2 linked regions of the Neodiprion lecontei genome follow. The protein of the gene in region 2 binds, or shares a complex with, the protein of the main gene of each other region. Links are inferred from orthologs where the notes say so. Each region holds a gene or a part of one and is shown on either strand. Other genes may lie near its edges.

Region 1 (8,082 bases), on a different chromosome or scaffold from region 2:
ACTAAATTTGAACAAAACCACGACCAGAAGAGATTTGGAAATCGTAGACATCATGGTTCAGTTGTGGACCTCCTTTGCAACCAATGGGTAAACCGTTACTAATCAGTAAATTGCTATTATTTCACTAATTTAATTGGCAAAGTGTGTTAAAGAATTGATTTTTCAGAACACCGACGACTTTGGCTTCAAACGGCACAATATGGAAACCATTTTCGGCTGTAGAGAGAAACTATCTTCAAATAGGAAACGGATCTGAAGTTTCGCTCAAAGTTCAGCATTCTTTCTTTGAGGAGCGAATGAAATTTTGGGCTACCTTAAAAGAAACTCCAAAGACCTTAACTGTCCTATCAAACGGCTCAAATGCCATAACATCCAAATTTTATTCATTATTCGTACTTATGTTATCTTTTTCAAAGATATTTTTGTAACAGCGATGAAGAAATGGATAAAAAAATGGAGTCTTTGGCAGACAACTGAAATATAAACCTCAGTATAATCAGTATTAAATAAATAGTAGAGTCACGACGAAAGGGGGATGTTCGTTAGTTTTATTCCATCTTGTGATATTTCCAACAGTTATGTGAATCTTCTGATTAAAAAATGCTGACACTCACGCCCATTTTCTCCGATACAGTTTGAACGGCGTTCAATTTCTTCTGTAAGGCTTGGAGCTAGGCTGAACTTAGTTTAAACTTCGATTACCGTTGCAGGATTCGGATCTTTTTAGAGTTGGGTTAGCTAGCACTAGTATGGAATAATCATAAGCAATAAGCATGGATATGGTCATTCCAGTCAGATCTTACATCCTATGCATACTGAGTGCGATTTTTCTAGAATTTTTCTTCTGCTATTGGTTAAAAACTAGAGAAAGCGCAGTTGTTGCGACGATTATACAACCGTGGTCGTTGCGCTCCGTGTGCAACCAGTGAAAAGCGCTTACTACTAGAGAGTTACTACGTTTACGTACGATCGTTTCACACATTATGCGTTGATTATATGTATAATTTGTACCATGCTTATGCACACCACTAATAATCTGTACATTGTATAAACGGCGCATGATGCTTTAATAAAATTAAACAAAATTATTAAACTGTACAAGTTAAACACACTAAAAGTGCAGGAAGGATGGGTAAACTTAGTGAATTATAATATGTTTTTGCTGTTCGACGTGAAACATCATTTCTGAACCTCAAATAGTTTATATTAAGGGTGCGTTCAGAAACTAGGTGGCAGTGCTAAGAACTCCCTAGGACAAGGACAGAGCTACTCCCCAACGCGAAAGCGCAAAAGCGATAAAAGATGATTAACACTTGGAGCCAATTTCGGAACACAACCTGTAATTCAGTCAGTGCATTGCATACGAGACTCAGGGTGCGTTCCGATATTACCTTCCATTGCTGTTAACAATATTTTATTTTTTTTGCATTGTCGAGTTCATCAGTAGCTCTGCCTTTGTCCTAGGGAACTGTTAGCGCTGCCACCCAATTTCGGAACGCACCCCTGTATACAACGTGAACACCACGAATACGACCGTTTGCATTCAGAGCCGTCTGGTTACAGTGATGCGTACTACAAGCCGGCCCCAAACCCCCCAAACTAAATTGAATAGGAAATTGTACGCGAAGTCGCAAACGCGCCATAGTGTCGATGCGCGGTTAGGGTGACGCGTTGATATCCGTGTGAATTTGCCGTAAACAAGTGAGAGTGTTGGTATAACAATAAATAATTTTTATTTACCGCAACAACTAATAGATAATTTCCAAAAAAAATGCTAAACTGTATTGATTCGACCTTTCTAATTGACGATCTATTGACGAAGGGGAGTGCCTCGTACACGTAAAGCTTAGCTCACGTCAAATTACACTTAACAATTCGTCGCCAGATAACAAATTGTTTATTCTTACCTTCAAAAATCCTTATAACCTGCTAGTACTCGACCAATGAAAATGTCGCACAGTGCGAGCGCGGAAAATCTTTCAGTAGACGGTCAAGTAAGTGAATCACATGTCCTTTTCTACCTCATTATTTGTCACTTGTCACTTAAATTCTTCAGTATATATATATATATATATGAGCCTTACCTACGTGCACTGAGTCATATGGGCATTTATTATGCTGTTCACAGAGAATTCTTTCCCACTTGTCATAGGATACACTGCCTTCCTAATCCTCTTACATTTTGCATTTTTCTCAAAATGAAAATTAAACTTCACCTCTTATTCCTGCAAAAAATTAATATAATCAAGTACTTTACTATTTTTTTTTGTTTATTCACTTGTTATTAACGGTAACTAAACTTAATCTCCCTCATCATGCGTCTCGTTACATTATTCTAGTCAAAATAACTCTGAACCCCAATTTGACTTACGTAACAATTTGATTTTCAATTAGAGAACGATACCCTATTTATGTTCGTTACAATAAGCTGGATTATGAGATTTACAGGAACAATATTGCTGTTCTACTAAACAATTTCAAGTGAAGCAAAATTGCCATATACTCTATATCCTCAATAAATTGGTAAAAATAGAGTAAATGCAGAAGAATACCTTGTAACTCGCGTTTAATCGTTGCTTTTAATACTTTACCAACATTAATTAATTGGCTAAACTATGTAAAAACATAAAACGAGTTTGTCCTTTACAGAATAGCGGGGGAGATAGCAACATGTGTTTGGAATTGGCCCTTGAAGGCGAGCGTCTTTGCAAGGAGGGCGATTGCCGCACAGGTGTTGCATTTTTTCAAGCAGCAATACAGGCTGGAACGGACGACCTAAGAACGTTGAGCGCGATCTACAGCCAACTTGGAAATGCTTACTTTTATCTTGGCGATTACGTCAAAGCAATGCAGTATCACAACCATGATTTAACATTGGCAAGAACTATGGGAGATAAATTAGGGGAAGCTAAATCGAGCGGAAATCTTGGAAATACTCTGAAAGTTATGGGAAAGTTTGACGAAGCTACGATATGCTGTAAAAGGCATTTAGAAATATCGAGGGAACTAGGCGATAAGGTAAGATTTTTTATTCACCTCTGTTCCGCTCTTCCTTCCTCATGCATTCTCATTTTTAATCAAGCATTTTTTATGCATCAGCTCAGCGAAGGTCGAGCTCTTTACAATCTCGGAAATGTTTATCACGCCAAGGGTAAACAAATTGGCAGAGTCGGACAGCAAGATCCAGGAGAATTTCCTGAGGATGTCAGACAGTGTCTTCAGGAAGCTGTTCATTACTACGAGTATGTTACTTTTACATCTATAGAATAGCTTGTCTTCAAATTCAGTAATATTATATACGTACTGGATACCGCGGCTTTTTAATATTTTTTGCTCTGAAATGAATGCGTTGCAGTAGTGGCAACATTTTAGTATCCAATTACCTGATTGAACAATTGTGATTTCCTAGAGAAAATTTGAAGCTGATGAGAGAGTTGAGCGATACAGCTGCACAAGGGAGAGCATGTGGAAACTTGGGAAACACATTTTACTTGCTGGGTGATTTTCAACAAGCAATTCATTACCACAATGAAAGATTAAAAATTGCACGAGAGTTTGGTGATAAAGCTGCGGAAAGACGAGCCAACAGCAATTTGGGGAACTCGCATATATTTCTCGGAGAATTTGAAAAAGCAGCTCAACATTACAAGTAAGTTATCAGCGGGTTGAAGCCGAAGAACTTTGAAATTTTGTTATACCACAGGTTGATAACTCCTGATCCATTTTCAGAGAAACTGCTATTGAACTGTACAAAATTTCTCAAGGTGCGTTACTTCGTTACATGTTAAAATAATTAAAATTCAAAATTTGTTCACAGACGTACGCTGGTCCTTGCTCAAGAATTGCGTGACCGAGCGGTAGAAGCACAAGCGTGTTATTCCCTTGGCAATACCTACACGCTCCTCCGCGATTACCAAGCTGCTGTAGACTACCATCTCCGTCATCTTTCCATTGCGCAACAGCTGATGGATCGAGTTGGAGAAGGTCGAGCCTGTTGGTCGTTGGGAAATGCTTACTCAGCAATGGGTAACCATGAGAAAGCGTTGCACTTTGCCAGCCTACATTTGAATATTTCTAAAGAGTTGAACGATCCAATGGGTCAAGCTACCGCTCAGATGAACGTTACCGATCTGAAGAAACTTTTAGGCTTAGAAAAAGGGGACGGAGAAGCGGAGAGTGGAAACGGAATGCATTTAATCCCAACGAGCAAAGCCTCGGCTATAGCGGCTTCTTCGCCAGGTAGATACAGGTTGAGAAGACAGAGCATGGACAATCTGGATCTGATCAAGGTGAGCGATAGAATGTTTTTGTTCAATGCATCTCTAGACTGCAAATAGTTCTAAAATAACCGAATTTATTGTAATTATTCGGTATTTCCTTGCATATAGTTATTTACAAGGACCATGGAACCGGTAATACTTTCTTCTTTGAACAAAGATTATTGTGTATTAATATGTAGAATAACCAGATAGAAGTAAAACTACCAATTTTCAGTAAACAATACAACGTTCGAAGAGTCTGGTAATATAGAAAATAACTGTCGAAAAACCCCAGTGATTTTTCTTTGCAAGGCAATATCAAGGAAATTTTTTTATGAAAATTTTTCTTTGCACACATTTCACAAATATCATTTTTTCTCCAATCTTGTCCTATCTTGTTGTTCCATTCATTATGCATAGAATCTATAAGGCAACATAAAGTTGAGTATTGAATAACAGAAAGTTATTCAGTAAGAACAGTATCAGTTTTCATTTTAACATTTTATTATAATTTTGAGAAATATCGAATAACCTTGTTAATTAGAGTAATTGACGGTATGGATGGAATAGCTAATTGTAAGTCAATTTAACTATTTTTCCGGTGATCAGTTCAGGAAAAATGTATGGCCCAACTCTATAGGTTGTGTTACTTTACTTCTTGTGACCAGAAAACAAAGGTCACAACAGAATAATATTTTTAGACCATGAAAACATATCGTTCTAAAAATCATCACACGTCAAGCTTTCCTAACAATTCCTGTTAAACCTCTTATTAAACATTAGCATTTTCAAATTTTGTGCAAAGCATCTTCAACTCAAGTAAAACCATTGTCGCAAAAGATTTAAATTGGCTACCTTCAGATTCAGCTCATGTTACAATGCTTATACATTTCAGAAAACGAAGACGTTGATCAACATGTATTATTGACTGAAAATTGATAAATTTTCCCTTTATCCATCATGTATACAATCTGAAGTTATTGTAATTCATTATCCAAATTTTTATCCAGTTGACTCCAGATGGTAAGCAAAAAGATATGGGTGAGCCTCTGCCTGCTAGAGCCGGAATCGCACCACAGCCTTCGCAAGAAGAAGAAGAAGAATCTTTCTTCGAACTTCTATCACGATTTCAATCAGGTCGAATGGATGATCAGCGCTGTGTGCTAAATGCCAATCAAAAACCGAGACCCAGGCCAAGAGTGGCGACTCCAGAAAAAGAGAAAGAAGGAGAAGATTTACTGGAGCTAATAGCTGGAATGCAAAGTAAGCGAATGGATGAGCAGCGTGTAACTCTGCCTTGCTTGCCAGGATTGAATACAAACAGGAACAATCAGTCAGCGAATAGGCCTCCCCCACAGCCAATTGGGCAGGAAGCTGATGATTCATTTATTGAAATGCTGGTGCGATGCCAAGGCTCACGTTTAGAGGATCAACGTAGTCCTTTGCCAGCTGCTTCAACATTACACGATGCAGAGGAGGAACAAAACCAAAGAAGAAACGGAAACACCCCATCAAGAACTACCGTACCCGAAGAAGATCTGTTTGCCCTAATTCAGAGACTGCAGGCTGGTCGCATGGAAGATCAACGAGCTTCTGGACCAGCAAAAGGCCATTAAAACTGTAAGTAAGTATACCAACTATTTGATGAAAATAATAATAAATTAATACTAAGCAATCTTTGAAAAAATAACATTTTGGAAAGGTATCACCACTGTATAATCAACATGAGTAACTACAAATTTTCGGTGTAACCATTTGAATTTTGTAAAAATCAACTCATGGTGATTACAAATGATATGTTCAAAAATGTTACATTTACAATGTAATCAATGGCTAGGTGGTCGATAAAAATTTGTACAATAGATTCTTTATAAGTTCTCGCATGCTAATTTCCTCTCTTTTCACAAAATAGTCAATCGGGTGACTTTTCTTCTACCTACAATTGTGTGGTGCTCCCTAAAGTTTAATTAAAACTCTGTGTCCTGTCCAAATCGCATTTCGACCCTTCAAATAGGATGGTTTGTTTTCTGCCCAACTTTGCTTCTTTGACCACAGTTTGTCACATTAAAAAGAAACATTTTGATATCTTCCATGTTATTTACATCAAAAGGAGATATTTTGTCACAAGGTTATGGTGAAAATTTAGTAAACTAGTGCCGTGAACCAAATATAATACTTTTATGGAAAGCAAAATCAAACGACACTATCAAATTTCTTAAACCACCTAATAATTGATTATTTATCATTGAAATCGTGCCAAAAAAGTATCATGAGACTCTTGGATAAACGGACATATACTGAGATGTAAGTCAGAGTACTGCACAAGAGATTACAATTATCTTTGTGATAGATGTGTATAAAATTGTATAAATGCTGCGACAAAATCTATTAACAGTAAAATATATGTAGAAAACGTTAGAAAAATGTGGAGTAGGATACTGATCGGTTTTGTTGACTTTTTTCAACACCGTTACAATGAATCTTGAATATTTTGTTTCTCATTCACAATCCAAAAGAGTAGTGCATAAGGATTATCATTCAAACATAAAAAATAAAGGTACTACTAGATATGTACCTATATCCAATGCAGGAATCGAATGAACCGAAAGCCATAAAGCTAATATAGTTAAAGTAGTATTATTAATATGAAAAGTAAGTTAATCAATTTATTACTTCTACGTTTTGTCTGTAATAGGTCTCTTTTTTTCTTTTTGTCCCATTTGAGCGTCAGCAAATTTCTTCAACAGCCTAACTCTAGAAATCCAGCTTCTTAATTGTAAAAATATGTATTCGCCCTTGTAATTGGTGGTATGTACATACGTAGTATTATGTACATTCAATGCAGTTTTCCGAATTCATTACTATACTAAATTTCGATTACTTTTCGTTATATTGATTTGAAACATTATATAAAATTCAAACTAACATTTGATGCCACTCCGGATATTACATGATGAAAGCACATGCAAAACAGTAGACATTTGCAGTAATCAGTTATCTTCATAGACAAATCCCATCGGATAGCGTAGTGTTGTCTTGACGGTGCTAAGATCACTAAATAAAATACCATATTACATTTATTATTAATCGTTCCAAAGTACTGATTAAATTTATTCTTCACAGAGAATATATAGTAAAGAATCCTTTTTCGTATTTCGTAATTTTTTTTCGAATGAGGTAGTTTTTCCAACGCATGTATATTTTAATAATTAGGACGCACAATCTACTGTTTGTTGTTATTGCTAAAAATATACTCAGAGATAGTTGTCATTAAAATATTTACAGCCTTGTCGCTAACTTAAGTGGCAAAGAAATTAAATTTGAGAGTAAATCAAATGTGTGTTTCTTCCTTCAGATGAAATTTACTCTCCATGTTAACTGTTTAGCTGTCATTCAACAAGCCAAGTTATAGTATCCAATATGGATTAAATTTTATTGTAAAGCTATGAAATTCATAATGCGAACTATGCATAGACGAAACGATCAAACTTTTTAAAGCAAATGCCTTTTTATGCCTGCTATATATTTATAACACGTTACTGGAAATAAGTTCTGAGATGTGGACTTTGTTCAAAGACTGAACGAGTGTTTAATTAAGATGGCAAATGAAAAGAAATCGATTCTTAAACGCAGGAAGAAGCATTTTGATTCACGAAATTTATGGGTTCCGTAATAGTGAAGGTAAAACTTCGATTGTTGAAGTAAATTAATAATTCATTTTCCTAAACTGCTATAAAATTGAAAGATAATCTAACTGACTAGTATACGAACTTTTTGATCAATTATATAAACAAACTTCAATTGTAATAATAAGAAGGTATTG
Region 2 (7,039 bases):
TGTCAATGCGCCTTGAGTAAATCTACTCGGAAACCTTCCGACTTTACGAGCGTGAAAATAATACGACAAAATATCTGGAGACAAAGGGAATGTGTCGAAGGTATTGCCGTACGTATTTTAGCCGGAAGACGTCTGACCTGCCTTGCGCCTTTGGAGGATGATTATCACCATCGTCGGCTTTAAAACGATGACGCCAAGCTTGCAAACAAAATTTTTGTGCGGATTAATTTTAACGGGCTGGAAGTTTGAATGAAAACTTTTCATCCTCGCTGCCACGTCGATGAACCGTTTCCAAGTAATTCGTAACGAAATTTCGCGGAAGTCTTCAGCGCTTAAGGGTTACTTTACATTCCTCGAAACTGCCGCCCTTGACACATTAACGACCAGCGAAACGTGTGCCAAACAAAGACAAAGCTCCGTGAAGAGGAACGGGCGAAAAGTGAAAACGAAAAAAAAATAAAAAAAAAATAAATAAATAATTGAAGATAAAAAACAAAAATAAAAAAGAAAAAAAACAGGAGGGGAGTCGGAACTTTGCAAAGTAGTACTAAAAAAAAAAAAAAAGGAGGAAAATGAGGAAGAGTGGGTATTTTTTATCGCGATAATAAAATAACCGAGTTGGGGATAAAAGTTGAACTTTAGGAGATGATCAAAAACAGACGGGGGCAGGGGAGGGGGAGGTATTTAGGAAGAGAAGAAGAGCCGTGCAGCATTGAGCGTTACGGGTTCTCGGGTCGCAATTTTGCGGTCTTGGAATCAATATTCAATTCGCAGTTTTCTCAAGCTCGGGCAACACCCTCCGGTTGGCGAAAGGCCCGGAGTGCTTTCCCAGCACCACCGCACGAAATCCCAGGCCAAGCCGAGGGTAGCTTATTAGTCTCGTACCATTACTCGAGCTCCCGCTGAAATGGCTCTCCTCCGTCTCTCTCCCTCTCTCTCGGACACTCTCTCTCCCGCTTTTGCGCCTCTCCGCGACCCGGCCAAGCCGACTAAGATGCAACCTTAAATCAGGATATAATTCTTGAAATAACGATTAACAGGCGAAATCGCCGCGAAAATCCTCTCGAGGGCCGATCGTAAGTTAGTCGAAATAACGCCGACGTATCGGGGGTGGTTCGACTGACGATGGAACGGACCTTGCACTATACGTCGAGTGTTTCCCTTTCTTGTCCACTATTTTCCTCACCGTCGCCAGGAACCAGCTATACGTTCCTTTCGTTCAAAAACACGCTTCCTTACTCTCGCCTTGAGGATAAATTTATCGGAGTCGTAGAAATAAATCTTCCTCAGAACGTCGCCGACCGCTCCGCCCTTTCCATCCCCATTTTTTCACATGTCTACAAGGACATGCCCAACGCACAACCCGGCAGGACGGCTCCGAACTTATATATTTGTATTCACGCCGGATAACCCGCAGCCAAGTTATAAACGCGTTCATGATGTTGTTACGAGCACTAAAAACAAAAATAATAAAACTTTCTCTTCGTTTTCTATAACGGCAACATAATATTTCGACGTCGATGTCATTTTTCTTCATCGTCGTTTCGAACGCCAATCAACTACTTCGCGTTTACGATCGAGTCGTCAAAAAATAACGAACGAATCGAAGAAGCGTAAAATGCCGGATACTCGTGGCTGAATATCCGCGTTATCACCATTGAAAATCGTTCTCTCTCTATTCACCGCGCTTTTACTTGCATGAAATAAATAAATAAATGAATAAGATTTTCCACCGTTCTGCAGTCTTTACTCGAACGAAGTAGGGCGGAAGGTGAATGTTGCTCCAAGAATGGGGGAGAATTTGTGTAACTTGTTGTACCAGATTCGACCCTAGGCAGTGGAATTGACCAAGTTTTAATTGCGTGTCCTGCGAATTACGGGAGAGGGATTAAAAGGAGTCTATCTCTCGCACGTGTGGGTATCAGGAGGGCTGTGTTTCTACGGTTTTGTACAATTTATGGAAAATCCCTGAGTGTCGGGGCGAGGTTTTCACCCCTGGTAGATGGTTCCTCGCGGGATACAATTTCATCGCAGATTTTACTTCCAGACACCTGGTCGCTGAAATGTTTTCCCCCTTTCCTTGTACAAAGGCTGCGTGAATACGACGTGAAATTATTTGCCCAACCCTGAATGGCGATCGTTCAGCTGAAAAATTCTCAGGGAAAGCGACGAGATTCTTTGCATTGTTAATTGATCAGCGCTTAGCGCTCTTTGGTACTCTCAAAGTATCTGAAAAAGATTCTTCAATTATAAATTACAGCGGGAGTAAATCCCAGCTTATTTTCTATTTCGTTGATCCGTAATACGAGAACAGAAGCCTCCGGTGGATGAGACGAACAGACGTAGATGAGAACTTGCCAAATTATACTCAAACAGTCTGGAGAGTTCGGAATTCTTTCCACGAACACACGAAAAGTCAGAATACCAGTCGAGAATGACTCGAATGAAAAGGGCTCTGCGAAGATGAAGGTAAACCGAGGATGCGGAAGGTCCGAATCGTCGCTGACTCGTCGCAGCGAGTCCTGAAGACGCTCTTCCAGTGCGGTGGTTAAACAGTGTCGAATAGTGCGTTATCCGGTGATGTATCACGGAATATCGGTGGAGCATATAATCGATGACTGCGTTTCGGCGAGAATGACGGTTCCGTCGGGGGAAAACGTTCCACGGGTTGACATGGCTCTATTCGGTATGGTCTGGCTGCTTCGCGTTCGCTCGGAGATGCGCAGATGCGCCAAGTGCAGGCGTGAAGAGATTTTGGCAGCCCAGCAGGAGCACCAAACCAGCGTACAGGATTCGAGGTCCACTATCCACCAGCCGAACTCGGCTACTCACCAGGCTTCCGACACCCTCAACACTTCCGCCACCACCCTCTTCACCCTCGACACACCCGGAGCCTCTGGTCCTGCTGGCAGTTACTGCGAGGTGCACGGATATATCCCTCCGAAAGAAGGTATCGCCACTCTCGATTTCAGAAATCCTCCCGCGAGGAAAGTATCCCAGGTCGATCTCTGAAAGTAGACTAAAAACTAAGCGACGCCTACTTTTCTTTTCTTTTTTTTTTTTTTTTCTTTCACGTATGCCATTAAACGCCTTAAGGGGGTGAAACCACCCTTCAAAGCAAGGCACGCAAGGACGATTTGTTAGCTCGTTTTTTTATTTTTTTTTATTTTGTAATTGAGAAAATAACATTTTTCATTTCTCGTTGCGAGTTCTTGTGGGTGAAACAGCCTTTAAAGCGTTTAACGGTAAATACAAAAAATACGCTTAGCTTTTAGTCTACTATAACATATTTATTAAAAAAGAAATCAAATCGGTGAGATCGACCTGGGATACCTTCCTTGTCAGTCTGACCGTAAGTTTGTCATCTCGGGATGAGAAATTTAGCGAATTAAGCTTTTCAGTTGCAGTATTTTTTTCGATCACAAAGCATGTTTCACCTTGCCAATCCTCAGATCTGTAGCTGAAGTTAATGTTTCTTTCCAAGTCAGGGAAGGAAATGAGAAATTAAAGATTTCATCTCATATTTATTTCAAGTCGAATTGAGATGTGACAAGGGTGAAGTTTTTTCAAATTCTGTTAATGGCCACCCCAGTAAACAACACGGAACTTTCTCATTCCGCATTGTCTGTTCGTTGAATTTATGAAATCCCTCAGTTTGACTTGTAAATGTTAATCGATACGATATGCAAATTTTACGTTTTATACAGCCAAAATAAATTCAAATTAAATTTGAATAAATTATACCCGATGCGCAAAGAATGCGTGTCGAAATGAATTTAAATGTATTCAAAACAAAATGGATCTCTGTTATAGTCTGGTAACGTATATATACACAGCTCTTAAACTCGGAAGTGGTATTTTACACAGCTGCCTCGGAATTCAAGGGTGTACATGCGGGGTCGTACTTGAAAAATCCATGCATTTAAAGCGAACAAAATTATTCTCCATGTAGGAATAGATACACCCTTAAATTCATTTAGAATGTATGAATACCGAATCATCTGATACCTGTATGCCAATTCTACGTCGGAAATTTCGTCTTGTTTTGTATTTCGGGACGCCGTTAGGTGAACTCGTTCGCGAAGGTGACTCACGTACGTAAACAATTATGTAGCGTGCCCAGTTTCGCTACTCGAGTTTCAGTCTCGAATACCGAGCTGCGACGAACGGACGCGGAAGAATTTTTCCACTCATTAATAGTAATTGCAGTGATCTTTTGTCGAAGGGACTTATTGTTTCACAGTCTTACTGTGATTGTAATTAAATAAGATTGGTAGTGTGTGTCAAGTGTTCAGTGGCAATTGCAGTTATCCATCTGAAGTGAGAAAATTCTGCAGATCATTCCACCTCCGAGGTAATCAGTTCACGAGTAGATCGTAAACAATAAAATTTCAACTAAGTTACAAAACTGCGTTACGATAGTTTCGAGAGTATATTGAAAAGATTTTGTTATCGCTTTCTTCTCGTTGATCGTTATTACATGTATCGGCAATTTTGACGAATCAAGCTTGACTAAAGTCTCAAATTATCGCGAGTACTGGGCTTTAATAATGAATAAATATGCCATCAGGCACCAAGAACCGACGATTTGAGTTATATTCGATCAAACTTGATCCATCGAAATTACAGGTAAATATCACAACCGTGGCTGAATCGATGCGCTCCTCCAACTCATTTCTCGCTTGATAATTAATAGGCTCGAACTACGAAACGTGTTTATCGCAAACGTGACTAGAGGCAGGGCTGCGTGAGATGCAGCGTCGGCTTTGTTTTGGCGGATCGCATTGTCTACCTTGTAGCAACTAGGTTGCATATAACTTGCGTATGCGCTTGTCTATGATCTTCCTACCTATCGCAAAGGGAGGCTCTACCTGACACTGAACTGACACGAATAGAACTAGGCGACGATGTCTTCGTCACGTTGCTGCATCGGACGTTCAAATCTGAAGGTATGTCTGCGAACGCGTCTGCATTCACATCCGGTGCATACTTCTAGTCAAATTGACGTAACGAACGGCGTAAATCAAGTGGATCGAGCAGCGTGGGAAACATTCTTAGCGAAATATTTTCACTTGTGGGCAATATTAATCGCTTGGATTCTGCAGGAATTATTTAAGATTAAAAATTGAGATTACGAACTCGTTTAACGTGATGAAATTTGTTCACTGTGTTTCAGGTGAGTACGAGAAACTCTTCGCCTATGCAGATGTGTTGGTTTTATTGAAAAAGAGAGCTGCAGTGCTTGGTAACGTACATGTAATATGCATTGGTGAAATAGTGATAATTATTAAATTTCTTGTGCAATAAGCACATCAGTGTTTATAGCGTATTATCACCCTCGTGAAGTCGGTATAATTTTGAGATAACGGGCTGCACGATTAATCTGGCGCGAACAAAACGCTCGTTTGAAGGGAAGTAGAACTGCTGAAAAAACGACGTTTCTATAACGCAAGCATGTTTTAACCCTAATAGGTCACTTGGGGTGAATTTCACCCCCAACATTTTTCAAACTCCTCGAAGAATCCCTTAGTCGTGGAAATGGGCCTCGTGGCGCCGTTCGTCACGCGAAATGAAGACTTTTTTTCGACATTTTTGGCACTTTGTTTGACTTTGCCGATGTTTCACAATATTTAAACAATCAATTTTGACATTACGCGATCCTAACCTCAAGTTCGTGCTTCGCGAACGAACGCGTAACATGCTCTTGTTATGGAAGGAAGCGTGCGTAACAAGGAGTTCTTTTCGTTACAATGTACTGTTCTTCGCAACGTCTCGAATAGTCATAAGCCTCTACGATGAGTGAGACTACGAGGTCGCTGCAAGTTACGGTTCAAGTTGTACCAAAGAGTATTTTAAATTGCCCGCATTTCCTCGCCGCCCTCTCGACTCTCTCGACTCTCTCAGTTGGTGGAAAGTTTTCTTTTCCTTTTTACAGCTATTGTTATTACCATTATTCAACTTCCTATTCGGTGATTTCGGGCGTTTTCAGAGGTACTTTTGAGCCACTCTTGTGAACTATTAGGCGCTCTCGGGGAAACTCTTGGTATTTACACTCGCCCGGTTGCACGCGTTCGTATCAACGTGCTTTCGTACATTCGTGCTCACGTCCTTCCTCGACCCAGTTATGAAACTGTTTCTCTACGGGCGTTATACCGCCCGGCTATACCTACACAATTGCGAAATGTTGTATTACACTTTAACGCTGAAAGCCTGACTCATTCGCCAAAGTAACGACAGTGTTTCACTCGGCTAACTCCACCCCTTCAACCCCATGCTCACCCTCAAATTCACACGCTGCGCTTCTCGGTGACCCGCGAACACGAGAACCAAACGACGATTCCTGATGGATTGGGAACCAATTCCTCATCCCTTGAATCAGGCAATAGCCTAAGGTCCCGAATCATTCGGATACTTCGTTGGCGTGTTTTTACAATGTTCATCTCAGCATCCAATTCATTGCACAGTTGTGAAGTTGATTATTATTTCTAAAGCTATACGTCAAAATTCCACCTCGGTCCCCGTAACAGAGCTTTTCATTAATGAAATCAATCACGCTACTCGTTAGACCGACGCCAGCGAGCGAATTTCGTTTCATCGCATAAATGATGATGTTAAATCGTCAATTTGACTATGAAAGTCAAAAAAAAAAAAAAATAATAAAAAAAAATTCTCAGCCACAAACAATTCATCTGTATATTACGTTTACGATTGATTGAATTCCATTGGGACAAACATGCTTCCATTTTTTCTCCTTCCAAGCCCCCTTCAAAAAAATAAAAAATTATCATGATCTCGTTTGAAAATAGACTATGTTTACATCATTTGGAAAGAAAAACAATTATCCTAAGCAAAAACGAATCACTTCTCGGAGTCATTTGTTCTCAACGAAATGAAATTCGCGCGAATTTGCCGCTCTCGCAGTCATCCGGTAAAGCGTGTGCAGTTCAGGTAGCCACCCGCAGGTATAACATGTCAAGTTAATTACCTTCTGCGTATAACAACCGTGGACCTGCAACTGCGTTTCTGGTATGGGGCTAAA

The links. The genes of interacting proteins can lie anywhere in the genome.
Region 1: the proteins of disks large 1 tumor suppressor protein (region 2) and G-protein-signaling modulator 2 are in contact, whole or in part, in a crystal structure (PDB 3TVT), measured with the Drosophila melanogaster proteins. The link is inferred for Neodiprion lecontei from reciprocal best matches to the Drosophila melanogaster genes dlg1 and pins. Residues at the interface, in NP_996406.1 of Drosophila melanogaster: Cys808, Val809, Pro810, Arg814, Arg817, Arg824, Asp825, Tyr826, Ile839, His842, Phe844, Ile845, Glu846, Ala847, Gly848, Gln849, Tyr850, Tyr855, Ser877, Asn879, Arg883; in NP_524999.2 of Drosophila melanogaster: Arg434, Met437, Gln439, Leu440, Asp441, Leu442, Ile443, Lys444, Ile445, Thr446, Pro447.

What each region holds. Positions count from the first base shown.
Region 1 is NC_060266.1:5,769,006-5,777,087, reverse strand, and holds the start of G-protein-signaling modulator 2, read left to right. Parts: upstream 1-1,620; 5' UTR 1,621-1,943; coding exon 1,944-1,994; intron 1,995-2,649; coding exon 2,650-3,018; intron 3,019-3,099; coding exon 3,100-3,242; intron 3,243-3,409; coding exon 3,410-3,649; intron 3,650-3,817; coding exon 3,818-4,289; intron 4,290-4,388; coding exon 4,389-4,412; intron 4,413-5,269; coding exon 5,270-5,875; 3' UTR 5,876-8,082. Other genes in the region: esterase E4-like, read left to right, coding at 1-87, 167-428.
Region 2 is NC_060260.1:7,308,155-7,315,193, reverse strand, and holds the start of disks large 1 tumor suppressor protein, read left to right. Parts: upstream 1-2,619; 5' UTR 2,620-2,634; coding exon 2,635-2,950; intron 2,951-7,039. UniProt on the Drosophila melanogaster protein: During embryonic development, some isoforms are essential for proper neuronal differentiation and organization. Required for cell polarity; maintenance of apicobasal polarity.